2 linked regions of the Oryctolagus cuniculus genome follow. The protein of the gene in region 2 interacts with the protein of the main gene of each other region in a pairwise test. Links are inferred from orthologs where the notes say so. Each region holds a gene or a part of one and is shown on either strand. Other genes may lie near its edges. The genes, in order: CETN3 and SGSM1.

Region 1 (7,013 bases), on a different chromosome or scaffold from region 2:
CAAAACGAACATTGATAGTTATTCACCTACCCATTAAGGCTACTAAAAATCTCAAAAGTGCTGTTTTTCAAATTGTGCTGAATGTAAAAACCACACAACCTTAAATACCAATTTCCCCTTAGATCTTTAATAAATAATACTTCTTTCAAAAAAATTTATATTTGAAAGACAGAGTTACAGAGAGAGAGGGACAGGCAGATCTTTCATCCTGGGTTCATTCCCCAGATGGTCACAGTGACCAGGGCTGGGCTAGGCCAGGAGCCTGGAATTCCATCTATGTCTCCCATATAGGTGCAGGGTCCCAAGTACTCGGGCCACCTTCCACTGTTTTCCCAAGTGTCTTAGCAAGGAGCTAAATCAGAAGTAGAGCAGCTAGCTGGGACTCCAACTGGCACACATGTAAGATGCTGGTGTCTCACCACAACTAATTTTAAGCCTTGAATTTGACATCTTTCTCCATTAGCACGTGTTCAACATCAAACAACTTATTATGCATGCACTACAGAAAGTAGGTTGAGATTGTGTTACTAACATGTTTAAATTAAAAGCTTAAAAACCCACTCTCCCAGTATGAAAAAAAAAAGCATGAGTTACCAAAATCTAAATAAAACCAACAGGAAGAATGATAATGATAAGAGCTGCTTAAATTCCATAGCTTCCAATCCATTACTTTTGTGAATGAAAAATAACCATCTTTCATAGGAATGTATTTTTACATTTAAAATATCATTCACTTTACCATGCAAAAACGTTTTCATACAACTGCATTAGGGGTTCTGTTTTACTATAGCACCTAACTACGAATGCTTAAAAAGATTTCATAGTTCCAAAACCAGTTCAGTTACAATAATTATATAGAAATGTATTTTGGCCGGCACCGCGGCTCAATAGGCTAATCCTCCACCTGCGGCGCCGGCACACGGGGTTCTAGTCCTGATCGCTCCTCTTCCGGTCCAGCTCTCTGCTATGGCCCAGGAGGGCAGTGGAGGATGGCCCAAGTCCTTGGACCCTGCACCCCATGGGAGACCAGGATAAGCAAATGGCTCCTGCCATCGGATCAGCGCGGTGCGCCGGCCGCAGCGGCCATTGGGGGGTGAACCAAAGGAAAAGGAAGACCTTTCTCTCTGTCTCTGTCTCTCACTGTCCACTCTGCCTGTCAAAAAAATAAAATAAATAAAATAAATGTATTTTAAAGCTGTCAAAAATGCAAATCACTTTAACAGATAAATATATACTTTATACTTTACCTTTAGTTCATGATAATCTATTGCATCATCTTTGTCTGTATCAAAAAGTTCAAAGGCATCTTTAATTTCTTGTTTCTGTTCCTCAGAGAGCTCTCTTCTTTTTTTTCTCTTTGTTTTGTCTACTACAAGCTCACTTCTATAAAATGGAAACAAAAAAGTCATTAGTCCACTCTAATCGTATTCTCTTATGCAAACTAAACAATCAACAACTTTCTAAATTTCCAAAAAGGAAATATGTTGAAGAAAGATAAAGTATTTTTTCTGTATGAGTTGACATCCTGCTTGTTCCATAGTCCACAGTTCTATGAATGTACACTTCCCAGTATGAAGCCGAAACTCTGACAGAAATGGGGAACAAGGGCCACTGTCACAATGCAATGGATTAAGCCACCACCTGCCACACTGGCATCGCACATGAGTGCCAGTTCAGGTCCCAGCTGCTTCACTTCCAATCAGCTCTCTGCTAATGCACCTGGGAAGGCAGACAACTATGGCATGGCTCAAGTGGTTGGTTCAATCACCCAAATGGGAGACCTGAATGGAGTTCTTGGCTACTAGCTTCAGCCTGGCCCAGCCTCAGCCATAGCGGCCATTCAGAGATGGAAGATTTCTCTGACTTTGTCTCTGTCACTCTTTCATATACGTTTCAAAAAAAGGGGGGGGGGGGGGAACCAAACCTTCCCTCCTCCCAACTCAGAAACAAGAATGGTCAGAGGAGGCTGGCACTATGGCGCAGTAGGTTAATCCTCCACCTGTGGTGCGAACATCCCTTATGGGCACTGGTTCTAGTCCCAGCTGCTCCTCTTCCAATCCAGCTCTCTGCTGTGGCCTGGGAAAGCAGTAAAAGATGGCCCAAGTCCTTGGGCCCCTGTACCCACATGGGAGACCAGGAAGAAGCACCAGACTCCTGGCTTCAGATCAGCACAGCTCCAGCCGTTGCGGCCACTGGGGAGTGAACCAACAGACGGAAGATCTTTGTCTCTCCTTCTCACTGTCTATAATTCTACCTCTCAAATAAATAAATAAAAAACCTTAAAAAAAAAGAATGGTCAGAAATATTACTTTCAGACCAAAAACCTCAATCAAAACCAAATCAACACTTATATCATTCTGCAAAAGTGGAAAAAAATCCAAATCAAAGTAGAATTCATAATTGACAATCAACATAAATATTTATTATACTTCAGTATATTTCTTGTAATTAAGTTTTCAAGATTACTACAAAAAAGTGCCAAATAATTTATCAATTAACCTATATTTTGGCATTGTAAGTTCAAAACTATTTTGGATCACATCTAGGTACTTTGTTTGTAGTTTCTTCCATCAATATTAACATGTCAGCCAACAAAGCAGTGAGTCTAAATATATCATGAATGTTAAAAGATCAAAAAGTGGTATGTAGCATTTGTGCTTACTTCCAAAAAATGTGAAAATTCTTGTCTCATTTAACTTATAAACTATAGGTCAAACTTCTCATAACTCTGGAAAAGAGTAAAGAAAATGAAAAGCAAAATTATTTGGAAGTTAGGAATGTCTTCCATCTGAGACAGATGTAGAAGTGCTTCAGAGTTTCAAATGAGAACACCAATTCTGTAAGAACACGTTTTAAAAATTCTAAATGTAAAACCAGTTGATTGTCTCATAACAGATCATCTTATTTGCATGTGAAAGCCATGGGGGGGGGCGGGCAGCATCGTGGCCCAGCAGGTAGGGCTGCCTCTCAGGTCCAAGGAACACAAACCCTGAGTCCCAGCTGCTCCCCGGGAAGGCAGCGGAAGATGGCCCCAAAGCTTGAGCCCCTGCCACCCAGGAGGGTGGCATGTTCAGGTGAACTGCCATGTTCAGGGCTCCTGGCTCCCCCCTGTGCCAACCCCAACCATGGACGCCCTTTGAGGACTGAACCAGCGGATCCAAGATCTCTTTCCCTGTCTCTTTCTGTCACTCACTCTGCCTTTCAAATAAATAAATCTTTAAAAAAAAAAAAAAAACAAACAAACAAAAAACTTATTTTGGTTTCTGAAATCTTAAGGGGGAAAAAAAGGCAATAGGGATGGCTACCAAATGACAGCAGGTGCAGTACGTCAGAGCTGAGGAAGACCTTCCCCAAGAGACCCGAGTGGACACACACCTGGGCACAGCCGGGGTCAGCCATTCCCCTGCCCGGACTGCCCGCGGGCAAGTCCGGACCCCGCCCACACCTGACCGCAGCCAGGGCCACCCGTGGCGGAACACAGTCTCTGAGCACCTGCCTTCAAGGCTATCTGACACGGGGGGTGGGGTGGGGCACAGACCGAGGGCTAGGGTCGGGACAGAAGACACCGACTCCGGGCGGGTCTCCGATTCGGCGGGGCCGGGGGCACACGGGCGAGCGACTCCGTGGGCAGCGGTGCGGGGGCCAGGTGGGCGGGGTCGCAGCACCGCACGCCCGCGGCCCACCCCCCTAGGCCGAAAGCCCCGTGCGCGGCCACAGGCGACCACCTCGGCAGCGAGCGCCGGGCCGGTCACCTGCAGGGCTCTGCACTCCCGGGGGGCTGGGGGCTGGCAGGCCGGCGAGCCCCCTCCTCACCTCGGCCCCAACGGCCTCCCTTCCACACCCACACACGCACGCGAGCACGCCCGGGGCCCGCTCCGCGGCGTGGGGAGCGCGGCCGCCTCACGACTACCGACCTCAGAGCTAAACTCATTTTCCTCCCCGGACAGACACGTTCCTCTCAGAGACTTTATGCCCTGGCCCGAAGCAGCAGGACTCCCACAAGCCGTTCAACAGACGCGAACGGCCGCTGCCACCACCAGCCCCGCCCAGAAGACAGACACTTCTGAGCGGGATTGGTCGAAACCCGCTAAGGTTGTGCCCCGCTCGGCACTACGCCCTATTTTCATTGGATGGCTTTAGCGTCAGTCAAAGGAGCGTTTGTGCCCGCCTCTCCCGTGCCCTCCGGCCCCTTAGATTGGCCAGCTGCTTTTTCCCCGAATCCTTTGCGGGCCGGCGTGTGGACAGCTCCCAGGTAGGGAATGGCGGGGAGGAGACCGGTGCAGGTGCTCTCAGAGACGTGAGCTTAATTTTTGCGGCCAACCCAACCCTCAGCATCCTACGCAGGCTCACTTGCGACCGAGTTTATGCACGTCATTCATTGTGTCCCCAGTGGCTGGCTGCAGTTGATGTTCCTTTGGGTCCTAGATGTTAGCAAAACGTTTGGTGTCCTCTTAACGACACAGTTCGCTATCATTAAATAGAGTGTGTTTATGAAGAATTCAACATATAAATCTATTAAATAATCATAATGCTAGATAACCGAGATGATCTCAAGGACAAAATATCCCTTACTCATTCTAAGATACATATTAATAAAGCAGGTATGGACAGTGCTTTTTTTTTTTTTTTTTTTTTTTTTTTTACCATGCTGAATAACACACTTAGAATGGAACATTAGGGTTTCTCAACCTTGATCCCCGGAACACTAGAGTTTTGTGAGATGCTTATGGTCATTTCATAGAGAATGACACTGTGGACAAGTAATTTGGGAAAATGTGTTTTTACTTGTTAAGGTCAAATGTCGTCAGTGCCATACCCTGTTAAGGGAATGATAGGGAAGTCACACGCATCACTTCTCTTCACATTTAAGCCGTGGAAACTAGTGACATGGCCACTACTTGCTTGCTGTAAGGGAGGCTGAGAAGAGCTCTCTAGTTTGGATGCCATGTTCCCTGATAAAACATGAGGTCATACCATCTGTTACTAAACATAAAATGGGATTAGCAAGTCTGCCACAGAAACCATTAAAATGGTTATCAATATTATCCTTGAAATTCTCATGAATGATGCAATAAAACAAGGGGAAGAAGTGCCACATGAAATTAACATTGTGTATGAATTATATAACACCTGGAAAATCCAAGAATACCAAAGAAGCTATTGGAATTGATAAAAAGAATTCAGTAAGTAGCTGATCATCACATTTGAGAGAACAATGATTATAAGATATAATAATAGCAAAATGGATTTCACAGAAATAATTTGCACAGGAAATCTATAGAATCAGATATGGACTGCTTCTAAAAGTTGAGATGACCTCTGGCCAACAGCTAGAAAGGAAATGGGGCGGGGGGGCAGCACTGTGGTGAAGTGGGTTAAAGCCTTGGCCTGAAGCGCCGACATCCCATATGGGCACCGGTTGAAGTCCCGGCTGCCCCTCTCCCAGTCCAGCTCTCTGCTACGGCCTGGGAAAGCAGTAGAAGATGGCCCAAATCCTTGGGCCCCTGCACCCACATGGGAGACCGGAAGAAGATCCTGGCTCCTGGCTTCGGATCAGCACAGCTTCGGCTGTTGAGGTCATCTGGGGAATGAACCATCGGATGGAAGACCCTTCTTTCTGTCTCTACCTCTCTCTGTAACTCTGTCTTCAAATAAATAAAAGAAATCTTAAAAAAAAAAAAAAAAAAAAAAACATAGTATGCAAGTGTTGTTTTAAGGCACTAAAATTATAGTAATTAGTTATAGCAATGATAGAAAATTAATACACCTCCTAAATCAATGAAAAAAGAAAAATGAGAGATTTAAAATAAATTGATGGAGTAGGCCTAGAGGGAAGAAAAGCTGAATGGATTCCAACCAATAGACAGAAATGGATAAAGAGAACTTAAATATGTTCAGTGAGTTGATAAAGAAATATTTCTTCACTGTAAAAGAAAAACTAATGTAACTAGAAATTCTTTTTAAAAATAAAGGTTAGTAAGAATACCATGGCTTTAAAATGACATAAACTAAAATAATGCATTATCAGGCTGTAGTCAGTGCTATAGCCCACCCGCCTTCCTGTCTTCAGAACCAAAGAACCTATTCCCCCAGCTTCCAGAAATTTGGGCAGCTGAAAACACCCAGCTCAGTTCCTCCTGGTAAATTGCCCTTTCCCAAAAGTAGGTGCCTTCAGCCAGATTACAAAGTCTCCCTGGAGGCAGAATTTATCCAAAGACAGGCCAATATGAAAGGGAAGAGCCTGGCTTCCTGGCCTCAATCCAGGTGAACTCTGAGGGGAAGGGCTTCTCCAACATCATGGCGCCCTGTAGAGCTGGCTGAGGCCTCTGCTTTGACTGCATCACAGCGCCCCTGTTCCCTCTGCCCAGTTCTGCCTCTGTCAGTCCCCACAGGTCTTGTTTCTGAGACGCTGCCCCAGTAAACCCCAGTTATGCAGATCTCACAGTCACTTCCTTAAAGAACTCAACCTAAGACATAGTTAATACAATATATTTTTTAAAAACAGGAAACAAAAAAAAAAAGCAAGACAAATGTATTGTCTCAGCACAGTTATACAGCCCAATGTTTTTAAAAGTAAAATAGAAAATTTATTTTTAAAGAACATGAGTGGAGGCAGGTGCTGTGGCGTAACGGGTAAAGGAAGAGGAGCAGCTGGGACTAGAACTGGCACTGACCCCAACCACCACCATTTCTCATACTACCTATCTTTCAGCACTCTTCCTTTGCTATAGTATATCTTTAGCAAATTCAGAAATGGTATAGGAAAGGTGAACTGACTGCGGTCCCTGTGTTTTCACAGTCGAAATGAAAAGAGGAGAAGGTGGCTACTGTCCTTCTGTACTAAATTTAGTATACCTTGTTCACGAATTCTGTTAATGCAAAATTAAAGAAATTCTATTGGACAACACTCAGTCCACTTGGAAATTAAAGTGAGACTTTCATATTTTGAATCAAAATATATTTAACTTAAAGGTTCACTATATGGCTGGCGCCGCAGCTCACTAGGCTAATCC
Region 2 (6,480 bases):
GGGCTAGAGGCGTCTCAGATCACAGATTCTTCTGTGGCTCCCCACTGCTCTCATGGTAACACTGCTGCAGCTCCTTAGTGTGACAGCCATCACCACTGTATCCTCAACACCCAGGTGAGGTAGGGAACACAGCAGGTTGTCATGAAGTATTTTTTGGATGGGTGAATGCAGGAACAGATGCTTAGCCGAGAAGATTCAAACTCTTAAACCCTCACATCAGATTAAGCTGAGCAAAAGGAAAAAACTTCTCTGCGCTTTAACTTGCTGCATTCTCACAAAATTCCCTTCTCATTTCTCCTCTGGAATGGCATTGATTCCTGTCTCATTTGCCAAAAGAGATACAGACTTAGTGATTTTCCAAGGACCACAGAATTATTGCGTAGTTTAATCCATGGGGGGGAGGAAGAAATTCAATATATGTATATCCCTTCCTAAGAATGAAGACCTTACACTGCTATGAAACACCTGCATCTGCCCAAACTTCTACAGAAGACTGGCTTGGGGTCAAACATCCAGGAGGCATTTTAAAAATCATGGTCAGGGGCCGGTGTTGTGGCATAGAGGGCTGAGCCTCCACCTGCAGCGCCAGCATCCCATATGGGCGTTGGTTCGAGTCCTGGCTGCTCCACTTCTGATCCAGCTCTCTGCTATGGCCTGGGAAAGCAGTAGAAGATGGTCCAAGTCCTTGGGCCCCCCTTGGGTCCCCCGTGTGGGAGACCTGGAAGAAACTCCAGGCTCCTGGCTTCAGATCGGCATAGCTTCAGCCGTTGCAGCCAACTGGGGAGTGAACCAGCAGATGGAAGACCTCTCTCTCTCTCTGCCTCTCCTTTTCTCTGTGTGTAACTCTGACTTTCAAATAAATAAATATATCTTTTTTTAAAAAATGGTCTAACTTAAGTGTGCGTCAAGGAGAAAAAGAACAGGCAACTTTGTGCAGGAAGGTGCAATTCCCAGGAGGCCAGCAGGTGGCAGCAGAGCACCCCCCCAGGTCTGGCCTGCCCTTCTCACCTGCTGTTTTCCACCAGGTAATGCACAATTTTGTCCAGGACCTTCTCAAACAAGGCCGTGCGGATCCACAGGTGCTTGATGGCCAGCGGGGACAAGTTGGGCAGCTTCGGCAGCTTCCGCACGTTCTCCTGGAGGCCCTGGATCTGGTTTCGTCTTCAAGATCAACAAAGGAGAAGAGACACTCACAAAAACAGCCCACAGGGTCAGCGTGCAGATGGGACACGTCCAGTCTCTCGGGAAGCGAAGGACTGGCAACGTAAACAGGGGCCCACACTGCTGCTAGCAAATGGGTTACGTGGGTGTGAAGACGTGGTTAAACAGACACTCAGATACTGTGGGTGGCCCAGCCAGACTGGCACACTAATATCTCCCCCTCGCCTTCCCCCATAGCTCCATACCCTCCCCAGCTGGAGCTCCTCCAGTGGCTCCATGACCATGCTCCACTCACCTCCCCAGCATTTCCTGACCCCTAGCCCCACGTACCCCATGACCTGCCCAGAGACGTCTGCGGAGCCCTGAGGCTCTCACCTGCAGCCTTCCCACGGCTGGTGTTTCTTCCTCCTTTCCCACCCCATCCCTGGGCTGACCCCTTGCTCAGCGTGGGTGGCCCAGCCCTGTGGACAGCCCTCCCAGGCCAGCCAAAGCTGATTCCTGCTCCCTCCACCTGTGGAGACCAAGTGAAACTCCTGCTGAGTGTCTACCAGGTGGCGAGCATGGACCCTCCTCCTGTCTGCGTCTCCAGGGCCTGCACAGGGCCTGCCGTACGGACAAGGCTCAGTGTGTATGTTCATGAACAAGTGCTGGGGCAAGTGTGTGAGTGGTTCTCCCTCACCACCTGGCACAAGCAGCTCTAATTCCTCCATCAGGAAGACTCTCCCCTGTATTATGGAAGTCCATGCTTTAAGAAGACACCTGCAGGGGCCGGCGCTGTGGCGCAGTGGGTTAATCCTCTGCCTGTGGCACCAGCATCCCATATGGGGCCTGGTTATAGTCCTGGCTGCTCCTCTTCCAATCCAGCTCTCTGCTATGGCCTGGGAAAGCAGTGGAAGACGGCCCAAGTGCTTGGGCCCCTGCACCGCGTGGGAGACCCAGAGGAAGCTCCTGGCTCCTGGCTTCGGATTGGCACAGCTCGAGCCATGGCAGTCATTTGCGGAGTGAACCAGTGGAGAGAAGACCTTTCTCTCTGTCTGTCTCTCCCTCTCACTGTCTGTAACTCTATTTCTCAAATAAATAAATAAAATCTTTTTTTTTAAAAAGACACCTGCAAATCCTTGGGAATTTAGCCAATGCACTGGAAGACATCTGAAGACCAGGCGGCTGAGAGGTTGTTCCCCACGGGAGCTGGCAGAGCCAAATCCCAAGCTCTACAGTTCTGGCCAGCAGCCCTGGGGCAGGCAGGTCCTGCGGGCAGGGAAAGGGCTGTTTCTCACACAGCGAAGTAGGAACATCACCCATTGCAGAGACGGCAAACACAGGGCTCGCCTGTCTCTTTCCTTCCCCTGCCCATGACAGACATGACCAATCAATCCACGAGGTTCCTCAGGATGCACAGGCACAGTCTCTGGGCAGCCTCTCGCACCAGCTGAAGTGGAAAGCAACCTGCCATCCCCACCCTGGCCCCGGGTTGGGGGTTTGGCTGTCCAGTCGGGACCCTGGGGCTGGCTCTGGCTGTAGACGCCTGCTCGTCGACTCAGTCCATGAGCCTCCCCAACCAGCCGCCAAGGCGAGCAAGCGGAATCACCCCTGCCCCTCAGTGGGCGCCCCAGAGTGAGACTGAGCCAGAGGCCCCAGCTTCTGGTCCATGCAGAAGAGACCATCTTGCATTTACCACAGGCCGTGGTCACTACTTCTTGGGCCTCTACCAGGTGCCCAATGCTGTCCAGGTGCTGGGCACCTAATGGGGGAATACCGCAATGTGGCTGCCAGCTCACGTGGAGTTCATGGCCAAGGGGGCAGTGGGGCCTCGGCCAAGTAAACAATGAAGTGAGTGGCTGATTACAGACGGTGACGGTCCCTGGAGGAAAACAAACAGTGTGGCACCCCAGGGGAGATGGGGCAGGTGTGGGGCACAGCTGGTGAAGCTACCATGTGCAACACTGCATCTCACACTTAAGTGCCACTTACAGTCCTGGATGTTCTGCTTCTATTTTAATGATTTATTTATTTGAAAGCGTTAGACAGAGAGGAAGAGAGAGAGAGAGGTCTTCCATCCAATGGTTCACTCCCCAAATAGCTGCGATGGCTGGTGCTGGAGGTGTACCAGGCCAAAGCCAGGAGCCAGGAGTTTCATCTGGGTCTCCCATGTGAGTGCAGGAGCCCAAACACTTGAGCCATCCTCCACTGCTTTCCCAGGTGCATTAGCAGGGAGCTGGATCGGAAGTGGAGCAGCCGAGACACAAACCAGTGCCCATATGGGATGCCAGTGTCACTGGTGGCAGCTTAACCATGATGGTGGTCCCACTATTCCACTTCTGACCCAGCTTTCTGCCAGTGTCCCCAGGGTGCAGCAGGTGATGGCTCAAGCACTTGGGCCACTGCTACCTACATGGGAGACCAGGATGGAGTTCTTGGCTCATGATTTTGACAGGTGGATGTAAGATGTGTGTGTGTGTGTGTGTGTGTGTGTGTTAGAGAGAGAGAGAGAGAGAGTTTGTATGTGTGTATATCTCCTTCTGTCACTCTATTTTAAAAAAAATTAAATCTTTTTTAAAAAGAAGGAGAGAAGTTGGAGTAAGGGTTGGAATTCTCTGGCCATGGGAGGTCTGAATGGTGACGAGGAACCAGGAATCGGTGACCAGGACGGCCTGGAGGTGGCCACAGCATGTGCAAAGGCCCTGAGGCGGGAGAGAGTCTGCTGGGTTTCAGGAGCAGAAAGGAGAGTGCCAGGAGGCTCAAGCTCTTGCCGAGCCCGGAGAGGGAAGTGCACTGTCGCCGGGGGGACCGCCCCAGCCTGCACCCCCCACGCCACACTCACGCATTCTCAATCAGCTGCTCCAGGTCCTGCACCTTGCGGCTCAGCTCCTCGGCCGGCGGGAAGCTCCTGCCCACCTTCATGAACAGCGCCGCGATCTTGTTGCTGCGCAGGAAGCCGGCCGCCCGCCGCCGCAGCCCGTGCAGCACACAGGCCTCCACGGCCGCTGCGGGGATGAGGGACCCGGCGGTCAGGGGCTCCGCCCCACCCCCAGGAGCCCCTGCACCGTGTCAGACAGGAAGCACCCTGGAGAGTGGGGACCCCTAGAGTCACAGGACAGCACGGTAGGGAAAAGCACGGACGGTGGCTGTCATTTCTGTCGGAGAGCGAGGGGAGACAGGGCCGCGTGACGGCTGGGCTTCATCACATCATCACTAAAGCTGCTCCTTATGGGGCGGGCTGACACTTAGGGATCCCACTCACTCTCTGCCCTGGCAGGGAACAAAGGAACGTTATCCCCGTCTATCAGACGTGAAGACTGAGGCTCAGCAAGCAAAACTGCGTTTCCCAGGGCCACCCAACCAATGAGTGATGGAGCCAGGACTCAAACTCAGTTCTGAGCCCACATCGTGCCACAACGTCCGTGCTCCTAAAAAGGACTTTTAAAGGGAACACTTTGTCCTAATTTTCCCATTCCTGGTCTCCCTCTGGAGGTTTTGCCCAGCGCTTTTCAGAGAGAGACGTGGACTCTCTCCCTAAGTCACCAATGAGTTTCCCTCGCTGGGCGCCAGCGCGCTCTCCTGAGATGTCTGGCCCCGAGGGAACCATTTCTTACTTCCGGCACTTTCAACAGCCCTGTCTCTTCTTGGTTGTGGTCGTACGCAGCAGACCCGGAGCTCACATTCATACAGCTGTGCGCAGAATCAATGCTTCAGGAAAAGTGAGCGTTTAACAAGAGCTACTCTGTCTTGGGCACCTGCTGGTGTCACGTAACTGCTACCATCTGCCTGGTCTAATGCCCCCTGACAAAAGCCAGAGAGTGAGAGATCTGGCTCTCAGTCAGTGGCCCTTCACAGAACAGCGAGCTCCTGGGGCCAAGGGCTAGGCCAAGGTCATGCCTCAGGTGGGGAGGAAGACTGAAAAGTCTGGAGTCAACTGCTTGTCTTCTCTGAGTTAGCAACAGTTTGGTTTTGAGCCGATGTCTAGATATTGCCAGATCTGCCCGTGGGTTTACAATATTCTGGGTGGGGCTCTCTTACATTTAATACCCAGTGCTTCTCATTTGTTTATATGGAAATGAGTGACTCTGTTCTTCAGGTTTGTGGACGCCGTTCAATGCTTTTCATCAATGGCTCGCAAGGAGCAACAGATAAGAGAGAGCTGCAGGCAATTCTCCAGGCTTCATTCACTGTGGTCAGATTTCTCCCAGCCCAAAGCCATCACCAGAGTGACACAATTACTATCACCTCTTATCACTGTCTATTCGCCTCAGACTTCAAGGGGCAGGTATGCTAGCAAGTCCTGACATGGACATACGTATTATTTTATTTGCAAATAGAAATGTCTAGAAAAACATTTAAATGTTGGAAACATGTAATTCCACGTACATATGTCATACCTAAACATCCATGTGTGTGTATGCACATACACATTGGTATATGCATATATTATATATAAAACACTTGGAACAACTTCGTGGAAAAATGGAATTAAAAGACAAGTTTATTTTGGATTTAAGAAATGCTGAAATCCATGCAGTTTTTTCACAGGACATACTTTTCATCTACTTTTTGAAGACCCCTCCTTTGCATGGATCTCAGTGTTTCTTGCACCACAAATAACTTATTTTTTAAGTCCATTCCCCAAGAACTTTTTAAAGGTTTAAATAAACACATCTCACTTTTGAAAAATCCCACAAGGATGTGGCAGAGGTGGGATTTGAACCCAGGTCTGCTTGGCAGGTCAGCCTCCCCCACCCCAGGTCACAGAGTGAGCTCAGCACATTGTGGGTCCTGGTGGGGTGGCATCCAGCCATCCGCATGGGAGCCGACAGGGCTGGCCAGATCTCCTGGCTCAGGCCTTTCCTTCAAGGCCAAGATCACGGTGGGGAATTTGGGCCTGCCCCTCCTGTGCACGGACAGTTAGGATACAAGCATGCTGCAGGGAGAATGGAACGAATGGCCCACTTCTGCACACTCATGGGCTCTCGGCTGGGTCCTAACTGCAGGCACACAGCACATGTGTGTATAGCCACTGTCACAGCACAGAAAGGAGCTGGCAGCACGGTTACTGCTGGAACCTTCAGAGCAGAGAGGGGTCAAGAAGAGATGTCTGGGTCCCGGCCCGATGGGACCCCACATCCTGAGCCCCAGGCCTGCTCCTTTGCTGAGCCAGCCACACGTGATCCCACGGAAGGTCAGTGTCTCTTAATTCCCTTTTCTGTTTTTAAAAGTCTCCATCTACATGCTCACTCGCTCTTTACTTAGCAATAGCTGCGGGCAGGGCCAGGAAGGGACACAGATCCCATTCCCAAGAGGTGAGGCTACTCCTGGCTTCGGGTG

The links.
Region 1: the proteins of SGSM1 (region 2) and CETN3 interact in binary tests that used the Homo sapiens proteins (3 or more experiments, as listed by UniProt). The two-hybrid records come from large-scale screens. The link is inferred for Oryctolagus cuniculus from reciprocal best matches to the Homo sapiens genes SGSM1 and CETN3.

Annotation. Positions count from the first base shown.
Region 1 is NC_091445.1:13,136,375-13,143,387, forward strand, and holds the start of CETN3 (centrin-3), read right to left. Parts: upstream 4,075-7,013; 5' UTR 3,932-4,074; coding exon 3,915-3,931; intron 1,384-3,914; coding exon 1,248-1,383; intron 1-1,247. UniProt on the Homo sapiens protein: Plays a fundamental role in microtubule-organizing center structure and function. As a component of the TREX-2 complex, involved in the export of mRNAs to the cytoplasm through the nuclear pores.
Region 2 is NC_091452.1:19,077,902-19,084,381, reverse strand, and holds part of SGSM1 (small G protein signaling modulator 1), read right to left. Parts: intron 4,146-6,480; coding exon 3,983-4,145; intron 1,162-3,982; coding exon 1,009-1,161; intron 1-1,008. UniProt on the Homo sapiens protein: Interacts with numerous Rab family members, functioning as Rab effector for some, and as GTPase activator for others. Promotes GTP hydrolysis by RAB34 and RAB36.